Oreochromis niloticus: one gene and its partner. The protein of the gene in region 2 purifies or fractionates together with the protein of the main gene of each other region. This does not show direct contact. Links are inferred from orthologs where the notes say so. Each region holds a gene or a part of one and is shown on either strand. Other genes may lie near its edges.

Evidence for each region.
Region 1: the proteins of naa30 (region 2) and naa38 purify together in Homo sapiens (co-immunoprecipitation; 3 studies listed by BioGRID and IntAct, with this or other methods). This does not show direct contact. The link is inferred for Oreochromis niloticus from reciprocal best matches to the Homo sapiens genes NAA30 and NAA38.

What each region holds. Positions count from the first base shown.
Region 1 is NC_031967.2:19,663,809-19,671,212, reverse strand, and holds the start of naa38 (N-alpha-acetyltransferase 38, NatC auxiliary subunit), read right to left. Parts: upstream 3,155-7,404; 5' UTR 3,044-3,154; coding exon 3,005-3,043; intron 1,490-3,004; coding exon 1,315-1,489; intron 72-1,314; coding exon 1-71.
Region 2 is NC_031980.2:4,761,441-4,769,632, forward strand, and holds the start of naa30 (N-alpha-acetyltransferase 30), read right to left. Parts: upstream 3,231-8,192; 5' UTR 2,826-3,230; coding exon 1,995-2,825; intron 1,286-1,994; coding exon 1,162-1,285; intron 953-1,161; coding exon 897-952; intron 515-896; exon of another isoform or gene 377-514; intron 1-376. UniProt on the Homo sapiens protein: Catalytic subunit of the N-terminal acetyltransferase C (NatC) complex. Catalyzes acetylation of the N-terminal methionine residues of peptides beginning with Met-Leu-Ala and Met-Leu-Gly.

The DNA of each region.
Region 1 (7,404 bases), on a different chromosome or scaffold from region 2:
GATGGACACCACGTGGTGGCCGGGAATCATGGCCAGGCCCAGGACTCTGGGTTCGCTCTGGGAGAATGTGTCTGAAAAGAAAACGAGACAACAGGTCAGACGACGCTTACTGTGTGATACCTAAACAATCGTTATGAACTCAACGGTAACTTTAAGCACACCTGCACGTTAATGTAAATACCAAATCGGCCAATCACATGGCAGCAAATCAGTGCATTTAGACATGTAAACATCAGAATGAGGAAGAAAGGTGATTTAAGTGACTCTGCTAGTCTGAATATTTCGGAAATTTTCCCACATCACCATCTGTGCGGTTCACAGAGAAAGATATGAAAAAGTGAAAATATCCAGTGAGCGGCAGGTCTCTGGGAGAAAATGTCTTGTTGATGTCAGAGAAGAACGGCCAAGCTGGTTTAAGCTGATAGAAAGGCAACAATAACTCATTACAAGCAAGGTACGCAGAAGAGCATCTCTGAACAGCACATACAGAAAGAACAGCAAGGTTTTGCCCAATAACAACAAAGGAAGATGTTGTCTGGTCTGTTGAGTCTCAATTTCTACTGTGACATTCAGACGGTTGGGACAGAGTTTGGTTTAAAGAGCTACTCTGCCATGCATCACTGGCTACCAACATAGCATAGTCTAAATACCTGCAGCCTAACTGGGGTATTTGACTATGCCCACCCCTTTATGACCCCAGTGTAACCACCACGTCACAAAGCTCAGATCACCTCAAACTGGTTTCTCGAACATGACAATGAACTCATTGTACTCGAATGGCTTCCACAGTAATCAGATCTCATCCAACAGAGCAGCTCTGGGATGCGGTGGAATGTTTCCAGCACCTAATATCATCTTCTCTTTCACTACAGTTTGTTTTTTAGCAAAACCAATAATCTAGTAACTAAACTACAGATTAATATATGTAAATATGAAATGATTTTTAACTGCATCATCAAAACATAAAAGTTGCTCCATTTCCATGAGTTTTGAAACAACAGGTCACAGCAAATAAACCACAAAAGAGTGCAAACAAACAACACAACTTTTACCCATTTCCCTGTGTATTTTTTTTGCGAAGTGAATGACAAAAGCATCGTTTGAGTTTCCCACAGCTGCTGGTTCTGATCAGTATTATTTTTAGCTTTATTGATAACCTTTAAGATGGTTTGGCATTGAAAGACACTTCAAAGATGCTTTATAAATACAACGCCATAAAAATGCGAGGTGTGAAAAAGAACAGAACAGCCTTTTTATACGGTGTAAAAGGCATCAGTGGACGCTGTGCTCAGGTCGCCTCAAGCCTCTGCGTACCTGTGGATTTAAGGAATTCCTGAGCTGAGCCGAGGATGACGTTGCAGTCCCGGTCAGTGCAGAGGAAAAGGCCCACCAGAGTCCGTCCGTCTGTCATGCGGATCCTCATGTTCTTGTTCAGGAGCCCCTCCAGCTTCTGCCGTGCCTGAGATGATGAGGACACTTCAGACTGCTCCTGGGGGAGGACAATAAGGGAAAGTGAGCAAAATAAGACCTAATTGGCACATTATTAATCCATTATTATTTTATTTGGAAAATCCTGAAAGAAGCCCTGTTTAGACACATGTAATGACCGCTGTGAAATTTCAGCTTCATATAGCAAACACTTCTTAGTATACATTTTCTTCAAAATTGTCCACTGACCCACTTTCATAATGTTTTTTCCCCCCAAATTTTGAAATCTGACAGTGTTTGAATGTGAATATCTCAAAAACTATTAAGAAAAAAGTGTGAAATTTGCACTGGTGTTTACCATAAATGTGAATCAGGATCTTTAATTTGGGACACACAGACCAAAAAAAAATCTTTAAGTATTAGCTAGATAAAATATGAGAAAATAAATTCCATGCAGTCCTGTTAAATCTCATATCTCTTAATACATTCTCATCTTAACCTGAAGTCTCAAACTCATCCAAAGCAATGTGCATACTTACAAAGTAGGTATCAAAAGTACACATATATGTAACAGACTTGTTTGTGAGTGATAATTAGAGTACCATCTGAAGACTCCAGGACTTTGTTCTATTTCGACAGGACAATCGACTGATATTTTTTTTCCTGGTGCAACTTGTCATGTTTGCTAAACACAGAATAAAAGTTGAATTAAAATGACATTTTCTTAATTTCTGTGACCAAGAATTTCATGTTTAAAAGCTTTTTACGTGTTTTATGTTACAGTACTGTGAAATGAATCAATATACCATTTAGAAACTGTCACTACAGCATTTCTGCAATGTGATTTTTTTTTACTGTCCCAAATTACAGTTCCTGATTCAAGAAAGGCCTGTGGAAATGTAAGAATAAGAATAAGAATAAGAACAACTTTATTTATCCCGAGGGAAATTCTTTTGTCATGTACATGCTCAAAGCAGCAGGAGAGACAGAGGAACAGATGAAATAGATATAAGATATACAATATATACAATAAGAACACTGTACAGTAATGTACACTATTCTTATAAATGTAAGGCTTTTACCTTTAATAGTTTTGAGATATAAAAAGGCCTGAAAGTAGGTGGATGGGGTTTAAAACATATATATTGAAAACATTTTATATATGAAGCTAACATTTTAAAACAATCATTATATATATCCAAACTCTGGACTATAAAATGTTTAGGTAAATCAGAGACGGTCGAGAAAAAAATAATGATTTGAGACAGAATGACCAAACTGTGCCTTTTGGTGAGGAGAACTCAACACATAGTGAATCTGTAGTCTGTCGTTCATATATATATATATATATATATATATATATATATATAAATAAAAACAGTTAAATAAACGCAGGTTACCAGGTCAGATGTACAAGCTAATTTGTTAGCCACCGACTAACGAATTGGCTACAACTGAAGCAATGACAATGTTCAAATACTTTTCCGTTGAACTATTTTTTAATCTCAGTTTTGACATGTTAAACAGCACCAACAACCCTGAGACAAACTGAAAAATTAAAACGAGAAACACATACGTGAGTCGAAGGACCATTTTCCTCAATCATTGTGGCCATAACCTGCCCCTCTTCTTCTCCTCCGGCATTTGCTTACGGAGCAATTTCACCGACGGACCAGCGAAACCGGAAACGATCCAATTTTTTTTTTCATCTTAAAGGGGAGGTCCGTTAGGATGCTGCTAGAATTAAAAAAAAGAAAAAAAAAAAAGAAAAAATGTTACATTATTTAAATGATAAATATTAATAATAATAAGTTAACGTTTAAGTCTGCAAATTTATTAATTTTAAGAGGAACTAACACCTGGCACTGATCAAAGACTTCATTAGCCTCGTTTTAGCACTGTTTGCTAAAGCCTTCTAAAAACTCATATACCCATACTTTGCAAAAACGAAAACTATCTACGTGTTTTCCTCTCGGGTAAGTCTGGAGAATTTGGAGTGTGGTATTTTAAAGCTCGCCTGTATGTCCCCACTGTCGCCACGGGTGGCCGCTACAGGATCATTTTCCCTTCATTTCCTGACACATCGCTTTAAAAACACTGATAAAATCACTGAGATTTCTATCTGATTTGTACGCGTTGCTTAATCCACGAGCTTCACTGAAAAGATGACTTGTATAACTTACCAAGTGTTACTTAAAAATCCTTTCTAAAGTACCACATTTAAAAACCTGGGGGGAAACTGCTAAAGTCATTACAGTGGTTATGATTGTCGCAAAAATATCATTTTCACTGCACTATTATGGCAACACAATAACAATAAAGTCGCAATATCTGCAGAACAAATAAAAGCAGTCAAGTTATTTTGACTCAAAATACAAGTAAAGAGAGAGGCTGTCAGCATAACTACAAATGAAATGAACAGTTACGGTGTGAACACACCGTTACACACACTGTAGAGTGAAAAGGGCAACCGGATGAAACAATAAGCAAAAGATCCACCGTGCCAAACATCTGCTAACAGAACCATGAAACCCAATTACTTACAGGAAAAAGAGGATAGAGAAGCTGCGTGAGAGAAGAAGAAACACTATGATAGGAAACCTCTTTTTCTCAAGTGCCAAAAATCTAAATCTAAATGTGTTTTGGAAAAATAGACCGCATAGATTAAGTGTTACACACTGGATAAGACGGTTGATGTCGAACTGGAATGTTGGCATGTGAATATAAATATCTGGTTTGCACTTTTCTCTCAAAGTAGAGTTTGGAGGAGGGGCTAATAGTTTCTTTTCTATTCAGTTCCTATGTTTTCCTGCGTTTTTTTATTATTGCTGTGAAATATTTTAAAAGACTTTAAAAAGAATGTAGACTCAAGATTTATGTGAGTGATTCCCGAGAAAGGAAAGATCAAGTTAAGACACGATATGATAAGATCAGACAAACACTGTTCAGCAAACAACCCGGAACAGATGTAACTACTGATGTTAAAAAAAAAAGCATGATTTTGTAGAAGATACGCTCTTGTGCAGCAGCATTTCATCATATTCACTGTATATCGACGCATCTCTATGTGAATGACTACAGAGTGAAAATAGAGCCTCAGCTAGGTGGTGTGCATAGTTTTTTAAATCTGAACTCATAATCCACAGATCTTCCTGGGTGGTTTTGTAGTGGCAGTGAGTGCTGGCCTTGCTGCTGACTGTGCTGATGGTATCTTGAATCCTTAGAAGAGGGATGACTGGCATCACAGTCCTAACTAAAGGTGAGTAGCATATTCTGATTTGTATCCTCTTTATCCTTCAAAACTCCACGAATAGCATGCAAAAGAAGGCTATTTTGTGTTTTTGACCCATCTGCGGCGAAGTGTAGGAGCACCCACATTAAAAAGCTTTTAATATGTGAGGTTAAAGTCATTATCAGTGGTATCCCTAACCCTAGTGCTGTGTTTTGGAGAGAAGCATATCTATCCACCCACCCATCCATCTAGCTTCTTCTGCTTATCAGATTCAGCGTCGTAATTGGAGCCTGTCTCAGCTTCTTGAGAGAACTTTCTTTTTAAACTTAAAATTACACATTTTAATAGTTTAGGTTAAAATGATGATCACAGATGATGACCTAAACCTTTCTTTTACTGTCCGAAGAAGCCTTAACCCTAAACCTAGATGTGTCATGCTTTATCTGGTGGACGTTAAGAGACTTAAACTTTGCTGATTATGTCCTAAACAGTCTTGATATAGTTGGATAGCTCAGGAGTCTTTCATCACCCTCTTCCTCTCCCTCTTATGTCTCTGATTAAACTTTCCCAGAAATCATCATCTGTAAATGTAGAAGTCTACAACTGGAGCCCATTAACTGGCACAATTAAACCCAAAAAAGCACTGTGTCCCACCTTTACTTTTTAACACTTTATTACAACTGTTTCACTGCTCAGGGAATACGCTGAGCCAAAACTCAACTGATCAGCACTTCTTCTGCTGCTAATTCAATCCCACACCAGCGTCTGCTGGATTGGCCCCTGCTGCACGCCTGTTATTTAAGCATTATCTGCTCCCCGGGTCGCCTCAGTTCAGACAGCTCAGCTCTGAATGGAGCTCAGGAGCCGGTGTCTTCCTCTGTGTGTCACACTGCATAAAATCTGGGTTAGCTGGAGCGCAGCACCCAGGGGAGGCTTTTCTCTCTCATCCTCGACATGTCTCCCTGCCAAACGGACACGGGGAGTGTTGGTAGTGGCGGGCGGGCGGGCGGGGAGGGGGAAGGCGGGTAGTCACAGCAGAGTAGTGCAGTATGTCAGGGCCTACGGCACATGAGAGCCCTGGCTGGTTTCATCCTTTTTTTTTTCTTTTGCAAAAGCATAGTGAGAAACATGCACGGTTATGAGTACAGATACCTCATTCACACACTCGCACACATAGATAGTGTGGGTTAGGGTACGTAAGCTACACACATACACACACTCACACACACACACACACACACACAAAGCTTCCACATCACCAGCCTCTCAATCTGGCAACCACAGACACCTCAGTGGCCAGAGGCTTAGTGGGTGGGTGGATGGGGGGACTCCAGTCACACACACACTCTGATACACTTCTCGTGAACAGACACACACAGACATGTCTCCTCTGCCCATGTTGTCTTGCGTTGCACCGTCTCTCTCTTGGCAGATGTGGCCTTTGGATCAGACACTAACAAAATTCCTCTCATTTGTGGGCGCGGGGCGAGCCGAGCCGGAGCAGCTCGAGCACCTGTTGCAGCAGCAGCAGCAGAGAGGAGGAGGAGGAGCGTGCTCAGCAGGCGAGGCGTAACTGAAATGCTTGTTTACATGATACCCGGTTATTGGTGTGGGAGCCACAGCTGACAGACTGACACATAGCGTAGAGACGGAGCGCGGAACTTGGAGACATGGAGGCTTTACGAGATGTCACAGCGGCCGGGCTGCCTGAGCTGTCGGCCGCGTGGTCGGGATGGCTTTCAGCTTCTGACACTTTTATTTAGCGCATATTTCCACATTTTTCCCCTCCTGCGTTCACTTATAGATCTGTTGGGACAACAGGAGGGTTAGAGAAGGTTGTGTCATGGTGGGGTTCAGGGAGATTTAGGCGTGCTTGCACTGCAACATTTAAGTTATCGTCATATAAAACTTCCTTAGGTTACGATGTGAGCAGGACTTTGTTCAACAGTGGATAACACAGCTCTGCATGTAAAAATAGAGTAGTAATACCTGTGTGTACCTACTATTTTAATTACTGTATATAATTTTATAGACATATAACTTTCTTTAATTTTAGCTGAAGTGGATTTTAAACTTTTAAAAACATACTTTTCTTCCTTTTTTAAGAGATAGCAAGGTGCTATTTGAATATCTCTGTGGGTGTCATGTGTGTACATGTGGCTTGTAGTGTAAACCACAATGTGTGGTCAGTAAGACTAGAAAGCTGGTTCACTGAGGTGACAGTGAGCCTGGATTCACACTGCTTGCATTTTTTAAATTGCATGTGCTCGGCATGCAAACTGAATGGAATGTAAAAGACCTTTTGACTTTGGTGTGGTCTGACCCCCGAGGCCTCCTCAGGGAGCTCAAGCTTCAGGTGCTACTGGGTGGGTGGCACTTTAACTGTGGGGTGGTTGAGCAGGTGACTGTACGCCAAAGGCTGCTGCAGGTGCACAGTCTGAGTCTGCCCCCAGGCCATTTCCTCCACTCTTACCCTGCCTTCTCTTTATACTATACTTTCAAAATAAAGGCTGAAAATACAAAAAATAAATGTTACTACATATATTAAACCCTTTCACAGTGTGTCTTTGGTCCTGTCTTTCTCCCCTCACCCTCACGTGGTCACAGCAGATGGCTGCCCCTCCCTGAGTCTGGTTATGCCAGAGGTTTCTTCCTGTTAAAAGGTATTTTTTCCTTCCCACTCTCACCAAGTGCTTACTCATAGGGGGTAGTGTGATTGTTGAGGTTTTCTCTGTATTATTGTA
Region 2 (8,192 bases):
ATTTAACGTTATACAAATGAAATGAAATTAACAGTTGAAATATTTTCAGGGGACAGCAAACACTTTAGACATCGATAGGCACTTGTACAGTATATAGTGACAGCGTTTCCTCACCTTAGAAACCTTCAACTGCAACTGTGACAAATAAATACTCAAACTCTAAACCTACCTTACTTGTGTGTCATATCTTGGTAGCTAACAAGCTGTAAGTGCAATATTTAAGTTGCTATTGCAAGTCACTGCTTTTATAAGAGAAGATATTTGGATAGAAAGCACGAGCACAGGACACTGAAGACCCACCCACACATTTGCTTGCAGTTACTTGTTCTTTTTCTTTTTTAAAATAAGTAAAAACATATCCTATAAAAACATGTACCGTTTGTGTGTACACATTCAAAGCACTGGATATTGCTGGGTTGTATCAGAGTGTCAGCTCTTTGGTCTCAACCAGCAAAGAGACTGAAGAAATCGTAACGCTGTATCACATGTTTCATCTTCTAGAAGAATTCAAAGTCTGCAAAGGAAGCAGCATGAATGTTTGGCTTTTCAGGGAGAGGCAGAGCATATGAAATAGTTTATGGTAGAAGATCAAGGTTACCAGCTAGTTTAGATAAGTGAAGGACAGCCCAGGAAAACTGGACCTTGAAATAAAAACGGCTTTAAACAGCTATAAATGTTCTCTCTTTCAGTTTGTGTTCCTTTCAGAAATCTACAACAAAGAAGGGAATGCCAACAGTGTAACATGTGTTTATACTATTGATTTTATGTAGGATGCATATTTTCACAGTACGACTGAATACGCTGGCACTCTGGCTTGAATAACGGCTCTTATGTAATGTGTGCAAATGTGTTAAAGTTTGGTTCATAAACAATGCCACTGGGTCTAGCTCGCTTACCTCGTCGCAGTCGCCCTCCACCATGGCATAGATGGCCTTTTTCACCAGATTAGTACCTGAAACAAAAGAGTGGACTCTAAGTAAGAGGCTAAACCCATTTATGGCCTCCATCTCCAATATATTAAAGTATAACATTACTCATCACTCTGAGTGCAGAGTCTATCTAAATGGTGCATTTGCATAAAGAGATTTGGTTGCCCGGGACAGCAGAGAAGACGGTGAAGGGAGAGACTGAATATTCTGAAGAGGAGCGCCGAGATCTCACCTATGCTTTTCCTTCTGTGTTTCGAATCCACGGCCAGCATGGCAATGTAACCTCGACGAAACATCTTCTTATGCATGTCAAGCTTACATACAATGGCTCCGACACACTCCTGCTCCACCATGGCCTGAAATGCACACACACAACAAAAAATACACGCTCAGTGGTTACGAGTGTCCACTGGGGTGGCCGCTGACAGCCTAGCAACCGTTCCTCTGAAGTTCCTGTCATCCTGCCAGTTCAGCTGGCTCCACAAGCTGACCTCTGACCTTTTTATCTTTTTTTTTTTTTTTAAATAGCACTTCCTCTTCTGTCACATGTGGTGATCCAGCCAAAACTGGAAATGGGATGTTTTGGACCTTGATGGCCACAGAATGAAAAGAAGGCAGGCCAGTGTTTTCAAAGCAGAAAATGCTACCATGACACAGCACATGCAGAAGGAAACCTAAGGCACATTACTCTCTGCTAATACTGACGATTAGATTTTATAATTGCTTTACGTTACAAATCTGTACATATATGAGTGGGCTGGCACATTTCTTGATTCATTAATAACCTAAAAAACTGAATCAATGTTGGATCTGTAACAGTAGATGACAGGTTGTTTACTGCCTGCCAGCAGTAAAATAGAAACTAAACTTATGAGCTGAAATGTTATTGACATGTGTGTGCTTTAGCTTCAGTACACGTCAGCTCTGACAGCCTTGGACGTACAGTGACATGTGGTGAAAAATAAAGCTGTCACACCCAACTCCTATAATACTCCTGCAACTCAGAGTAACCAGTCCGAAGTCAGACTTCATAACTGTGAGCGGTGCGTTCAATCTACTACTTACCAGAAAGCAGAGCTGCGGCCAGTTGTGGATGAAGTACCTGTAAGTGTAAATTGAATAAGGCTCAGATAAGTCCTTGGTGATCAGTCTCATGATCCACGGCATCTGAAGTTCGGACTCATAGCGGACATAGCGGATGCCGTGGTTCTCCCCGGGGGAGCCGCTCAAGTCGAGCCGGGCGAGCTCCTCGGCCGGCGGCTGCTGCAGGTCAGCCTGGCTCTCCTCACCGCCGGGCCCAGCAGCGTCCGGCTGCTCGTCACTCGAAGGTCTAGAGGGCGGCGTGTGGTCCAACTCTTTCCCCGCTTCGCAGGCCGCCTCAGCTGTAGTGAAACCCGGCATCCCGTTCACGCTATTGTTACCATGAGGAGAGTGACTGCCGTTTTTGGAACAGGGGCTGTGGCCTTCGTGTTGGCAGTGCTCACTATTGTTCCTAGCGGCAGGAGCCTCCTCGTTGCTGCCAATACTGTTGTCACAGTTGTCTACGGACGATCTGGGATTGTCAGGCCGGCTTCCTACGTGCTGGTGGCTGTCAGGGTCCTCTGAGGGGCTTGCCAAGCCGTTCAACTGCTGCTGCTCTCGGGCTTGCATTTTAAGGTGAAGCGCCGACGGGCTAGCTCGCGCTAGCATGTTTTTCTGCTTCTTCTTGACCGACCTTTTGACTTCGTTTACCGACTGAGACTTCGTCCCTGTACCGGCGGGCACACACTGCTCCCCGTGGCACGCCGGCTCTCCGTCTTCCACCGCCGGCTCCGCGCTCCCAGCCACGGGGAAAGGAGGAATTTCAGCCGGGGATGCAGGCAGTACGCTACTAGGCCCAGGCGGCACTGTGGCCATCCCACTGCATTAAGGTGGTGATTGACACTTGGAAAACGTTGAACACAATTTCATCCACAAGGCGAAGGCATATACAACCAATATACGAGCTAGTTCATCGAATATTGCTTAAATCCAGGGTTTTCTGGGGCGATAACGTTTCCGCTGGCGATGGTTGTCGCTGCTTTCTCCTCGATTTCCCTGCTGCCGCAAAGTGCCGTCGCAGCAAACGCCATTGCAACGGCATTCATACACGTTTTACGACAGTAGTGTAACGCATGAGTGTTGCACGGTTTTTCCCACTTCTGTTACCCCCTGCCCCCCGAGGCTGTTTTTTGGTCATCCTTGCACCTTGCGAAACTTTTTATATTGTTTGTCAAATTTATCTAACCAGTCAATACTGACATTTACCTCCTTCTGTTCGCCTTTATGTTCTGTATAGTTTAAATAATATATATGTTTGTGTCGTACCCTGCATTACCACACTGTACTCACAACATTCTGGTAATGCAACACTGGAGAAGTCAAAGGTGACTGAAGAAGTCCTTGTACTGCCCTGTTAAACCCAAGAACATATTCTTCCTTACCAGCAGAGGGCGCCAAACCGAAGCTTTAGCATATGGAATAGTTTTGTAAGAGCAACAACAACACTGCGTTTTCTCCACAAGATGCCGCCATTCGACCAGTTTGTCGCTTCATCCTGCAAAGTAGGTGCAAGTTGGTGCGTGTATGTCCAGTAGTATCCAATCATGGTCTACTCTCCTTTCCAGAAGCATACTGTAGGCTGCTGTTAATTCATCATTCCCAGGATGCTGCGAAGCAAGAAAACCACAACACTGCAGTTGTTCATATTACACATAACATGATAATAATACATAATAATAATTACATTTGTTTTTTGTTTATATTTACATTTAACCATTTCCTTTAGTCTGCTAAGAACCACATTCATATTCGTCTTTCACTTTTGTTACATTTATTTCCTTTTAAGGTTTCATTTTTCCCTAACCTTTATTAGACACAAAAGTACAGAGAGCCGGCAGAGAAGCATGGAGAGCGTGGAGGGAATGACATGCATGAAATGGTCTGGGGCAAGCCTCAGTAGCAGCCTTTGGCATACGGGTCACCTGCTCAACTACAAAACCTATATAGATTTGTCTTTGTAATCAAAATAGTCTAGGCTCACACTAGAGGAATAATCTCCAGATAAAATTTGCCAGGTGCACAAGTCTAAGTCATGAGTTTGTAGTATTGGAACAGAGTTTGTGATATCGTGTGCCAAGAAATCCCCCCAGAAAAAACAACCAAAAACCAAAATTTTACAGGAGGCAGCAGCCTGCCTGTGGAGAGCGAGAGGAGAGAGATTGTGTGCCAGCATAGGAAGGAGAAGACAACAACGCAGAAGACTTCACAGGGGTCCTTCCCCTGTTACACTGTGAGGGTGAACACAAAGTGTGAGGTCACTGAAACTCAAATGTAGCGACAGGAAGTCAAGTGATTCTGAAAAATGTTGTTACTGTAGTATTCTGTTGCACACAATAGGCCATGTTTTATTACCGCAGTACCTGTTTCTGAGTATTGATGCTCCCCATACCCTGTTAACTGTGTTGCACATCTTTGTGTGACCACATGCTTTTCCCCTCACAAAACATACAAATTTAGGTGATCTTGAAATCAGCAAGACATTACAGAGTATTAACTTTGATATATTTAAAACAGAAGTACAGTGCTCTAAAAAAGTCCTAACTCATAGGACAAGAACTTCAGGAAATGAGAAGCTGAATTATGCATTTCTATTCTCCACACACATTCTGACCAAATATTTATATCTTTTGACTCCCCTTGTTTGTAATGTCGTTTTTGGTGGTGATGACTTATTTATTTGAATCAAAGGTTTTGGGTGAGTTCACTCTAAGAGCTGTAAAAACTGTACTGCTTAGCTCTTGTATCATAGCTCTTAGCTCTTCAGCATCATATTTGTCTTGCCTGCCAGCACCAAAGTTTGCTTTCTTCTCCTTAAAGTCCTGCTTTTTCTGTAATAGACGGTCAACATTTTGGATGTTTCTTCTTGCTCTACGTCTCTTCCTTACCTCAGGGTAGACCTCGACAGATATTCCAGCTTTTTCTCAGTTTTTTCTGGCAGATTTCTTGCAACATTTATGCTCCTCTTAAGTGGGGGGAATTTTTCAAATGAACTCAAATCTGCAGCAAAAACACTGTGACCTGCTGTACCTTTCCAAAAATCCTTTAATTCACGCATCAAAATTCAGCTTCTGTGTTGATGACTAAATAGTTTCCACAAGAGACATATAGGTGTCTTTCCTCTGCATCCTTACTCCTGTCCCTCTCAACTTCCATAAATATGTTTTCCAAAATTAAAATGATTGGCTCGCACCTGTGGCCACAGCACACAATTTAAACTATACTGCACATGAAAGTTCTTTATTTTGTTCACAAAGACGTGCCCCACTAATATTTGCTCAAACTGTGGACAGTTTTACCAAAACGAGGCAAGGATTTGAAAACCGCCATTCAAACTGGCAGTATCGCTCTGTAGCGCCCTCCAGCTGTAGCTCCAGGTACTCTGAAGTGGATCGCTTTCTCACAAAGACACAGTTGAGTCCAGTCGGTCTACCACAACCAGACCGTGACACAAAAGGTCTAAGTGGGAGCGCCAGATGCTAGAGAGCCTGACTTTGCTCTTTCATGCTAACACAGATTGATCTTTCAGTCGTTGTCTGTCCTACACAGCTACCATGAACATACGTGAGTTTTGAAAGGGAGTCATATTTTATGTATAAATATACATTACAGAGAAAGAGGCCGAGATAGGAGGGAGAGAGAGAGAGACGTCTCTTTTAAAGCTAAGCCTTGGGGCTGAGAACTCTCTGAAGAGCTGGAATCAGACATGCACAATCAGTTCCCCTCTTCAAATCTCCTTTGCAGGCCTATCTACTTGAACAGGCTTCTCTTAATTACTTTCTCTATCACTTAGGCGAGCCGTGGCTGGGACGAGGAGCAGCAGCGTCTCTGCCAGAGACATTTGGCTGGTTTGAACCCATATTTTTATAGGCCTATCTTTTTTCTCACAAGCCTGTCCCACACCTTCTCCCCGCACCACCACCACAACCGCCACCGCCACCGCCACCTTTCTTCCCTCCTTGCCTTGCTTTCATTGCACGTTGCTCTTGTCTTTCCGTGGCTCTCCCCTATTCCAAATATCTCCAGGGTGTCAGTTGCGTCATGTGACTGGTGCGCTTGTGATTACAGCAGTTGGCAGACGTGCTAATCTATGAGGAAGAACCCAAAATATCTGGAGAAAAAAAATGACAGCATGTAAAAGAAGCATAAGGTCAGTATGGAGATCAGCGGAGAGCGAGAACACGGTAAAGACAACTCAGGGTTGACACTGAAACCCGAATTCCCTCCTCTTTCAAATCTCTCCGCCTGTCTTCCTGTCTGTCTGAACCGCTCTCAGGGGCTTGAGGCCAAACTTTGGACCCCCTCCTCCTCCCTTCCTCTCTCATGCTCCTGCCTGTCACATTGGCTTGCTCTCCTCACTCCGCTCACTTCCCTGTGTCCTCCTTCTTCTTCTTCTTCTATTTTTTTTCTTCTCTTTTTGTCTGGCGTCTGGTCCACTAGAGCTGTATTTAATTAGTTTCTGTTGGGTTAATTAGGGGCTAAAGTTAGGGGGTCGGACCAGAACAAAAGCGGGTCAGGCTGGACGGATGCAGGTGCTCAGGAGTGGTTGCCAGATTCCACCGTTCAGATTAAGATGGCCTTGAATTGTCTGGAGTATTGGAGAGCAGGCGAGCCACTAGTAAATCGCAAGGAGGGGAGGTTTTCCACCTCACACGGGATGGCAGGCTCCATATGTACCCACGGCAGCATCACCATTCTTGTTTATTTGAATTTCAGCATCATTTCTACGCGTGTGCCACACCTGGATTCATCGCAGAGTTGGTCCAATGTATGGCGCGTGCAAGTGATGTCCTCGCCAGTCTGTTGTATGTTCTCATTCATATCACTGCCCGCCACCCTGTGCCCCCACCCCCACCCCTTTTTTTCCCAGCAGTGCCAGCTATACCCTGCTCCTTTGGCTTGCGTGGAATTAGAAGAAAAATATGTGAGGAGGACATCAAATGACCAAACCAAGCAAGTGAAGCATACATAAAATGGGCAGCGGCAGCCTTTGAAGTGTACATCAGTAGCCCGAGTGAAGTGATCACATAAATTAAACGCATAAAGACAGCAGTGTAGATGTGAGTATAGACCGCTGCGCTTTGATCTCACCTGTTTACTAACTGTTCTTTTTGGCACATTGTTTGAAACTCACACATGCTGCATGCAACTCACACATTGCAAAAGTAAAAGAAAGACACCATTCGACCTTTTTGAAAGGGAAGGAGAGGAAGAGGGAGAGGAGAGAGGAGAAACGAGAGGAGAGGGATCTCTGGCATGGCTGGAGCCCCTCAGTGTGTGAGGGTCCTGGGGCCCTTTAGACAGGCGCCAGCCCAGCAGGGAACCAGAGACAATCACGCAGCACCAGATTCAATGCACAGAGATTGAGGGATGGGAGAGAGATGAGGAGTCACAGAGGGGTGGATTGAAGGGGGAGCGGGACAAAGAGGACAGCTGAGAAAGGTGGAGGACACGACAAGGAGACGAGTGGGAAGGGTCCAGGTAGAAATCGAAGGAGCGCAGAGCGAATGAGCTAAAAAGAGTTGGATGGAGAGGGGGAGAATGACAGCGCAGATCAAGAGGAGAAGTAAAAGGAAGAAAGAGCAAGCCTGAGAGAGATAGCATATATTCCCTCTGTAACAGTCTTTATCACCAGCCCAGATCGTGGCGTATGAACAGTGATCCAAGTCAACCATCTGCTGAGGCTAGATAAGCCTGGGAGAGCTGGGTATTGAGCTGTCACTCAGGGAGGAGTGCAGAAAAGGAAAGAAAGGAGGGGAGAGAGAGAAACAGAAGAGAAATAAAGACGGGACAGGAGAGAGATGGAGAAGAAGGAGGGAGGGAGGGAAGGAGGGAGGGAGGTGTCTGCGCAAGGTAGGAAAAATGAAAGGAGAAGATTTGTGCGGAGTGGAGAGCACCCGTCTTGTTAGAGAAAGACTTAACGTCAACTAGATGTCCGGCCCTGTCCCGTCTGATCTCGAATAATCCTTCGGTTAACAAGAGGAACAATAAAAATGTTTTCTTTCTCGTCAGCCTACACGTCCCACACGCACACGTATATCACACTGTGAGACGCATCGACTCACATCACTCCTCATCACGCTAATGTTGACAGGATGTTTGTTTGTTTTCTGTCACTGGCAGCATGTGCATATTCACATTTGTCACGTTGTAAAGTTCTAATCACGAAACAGGGCTTCTTGCCAT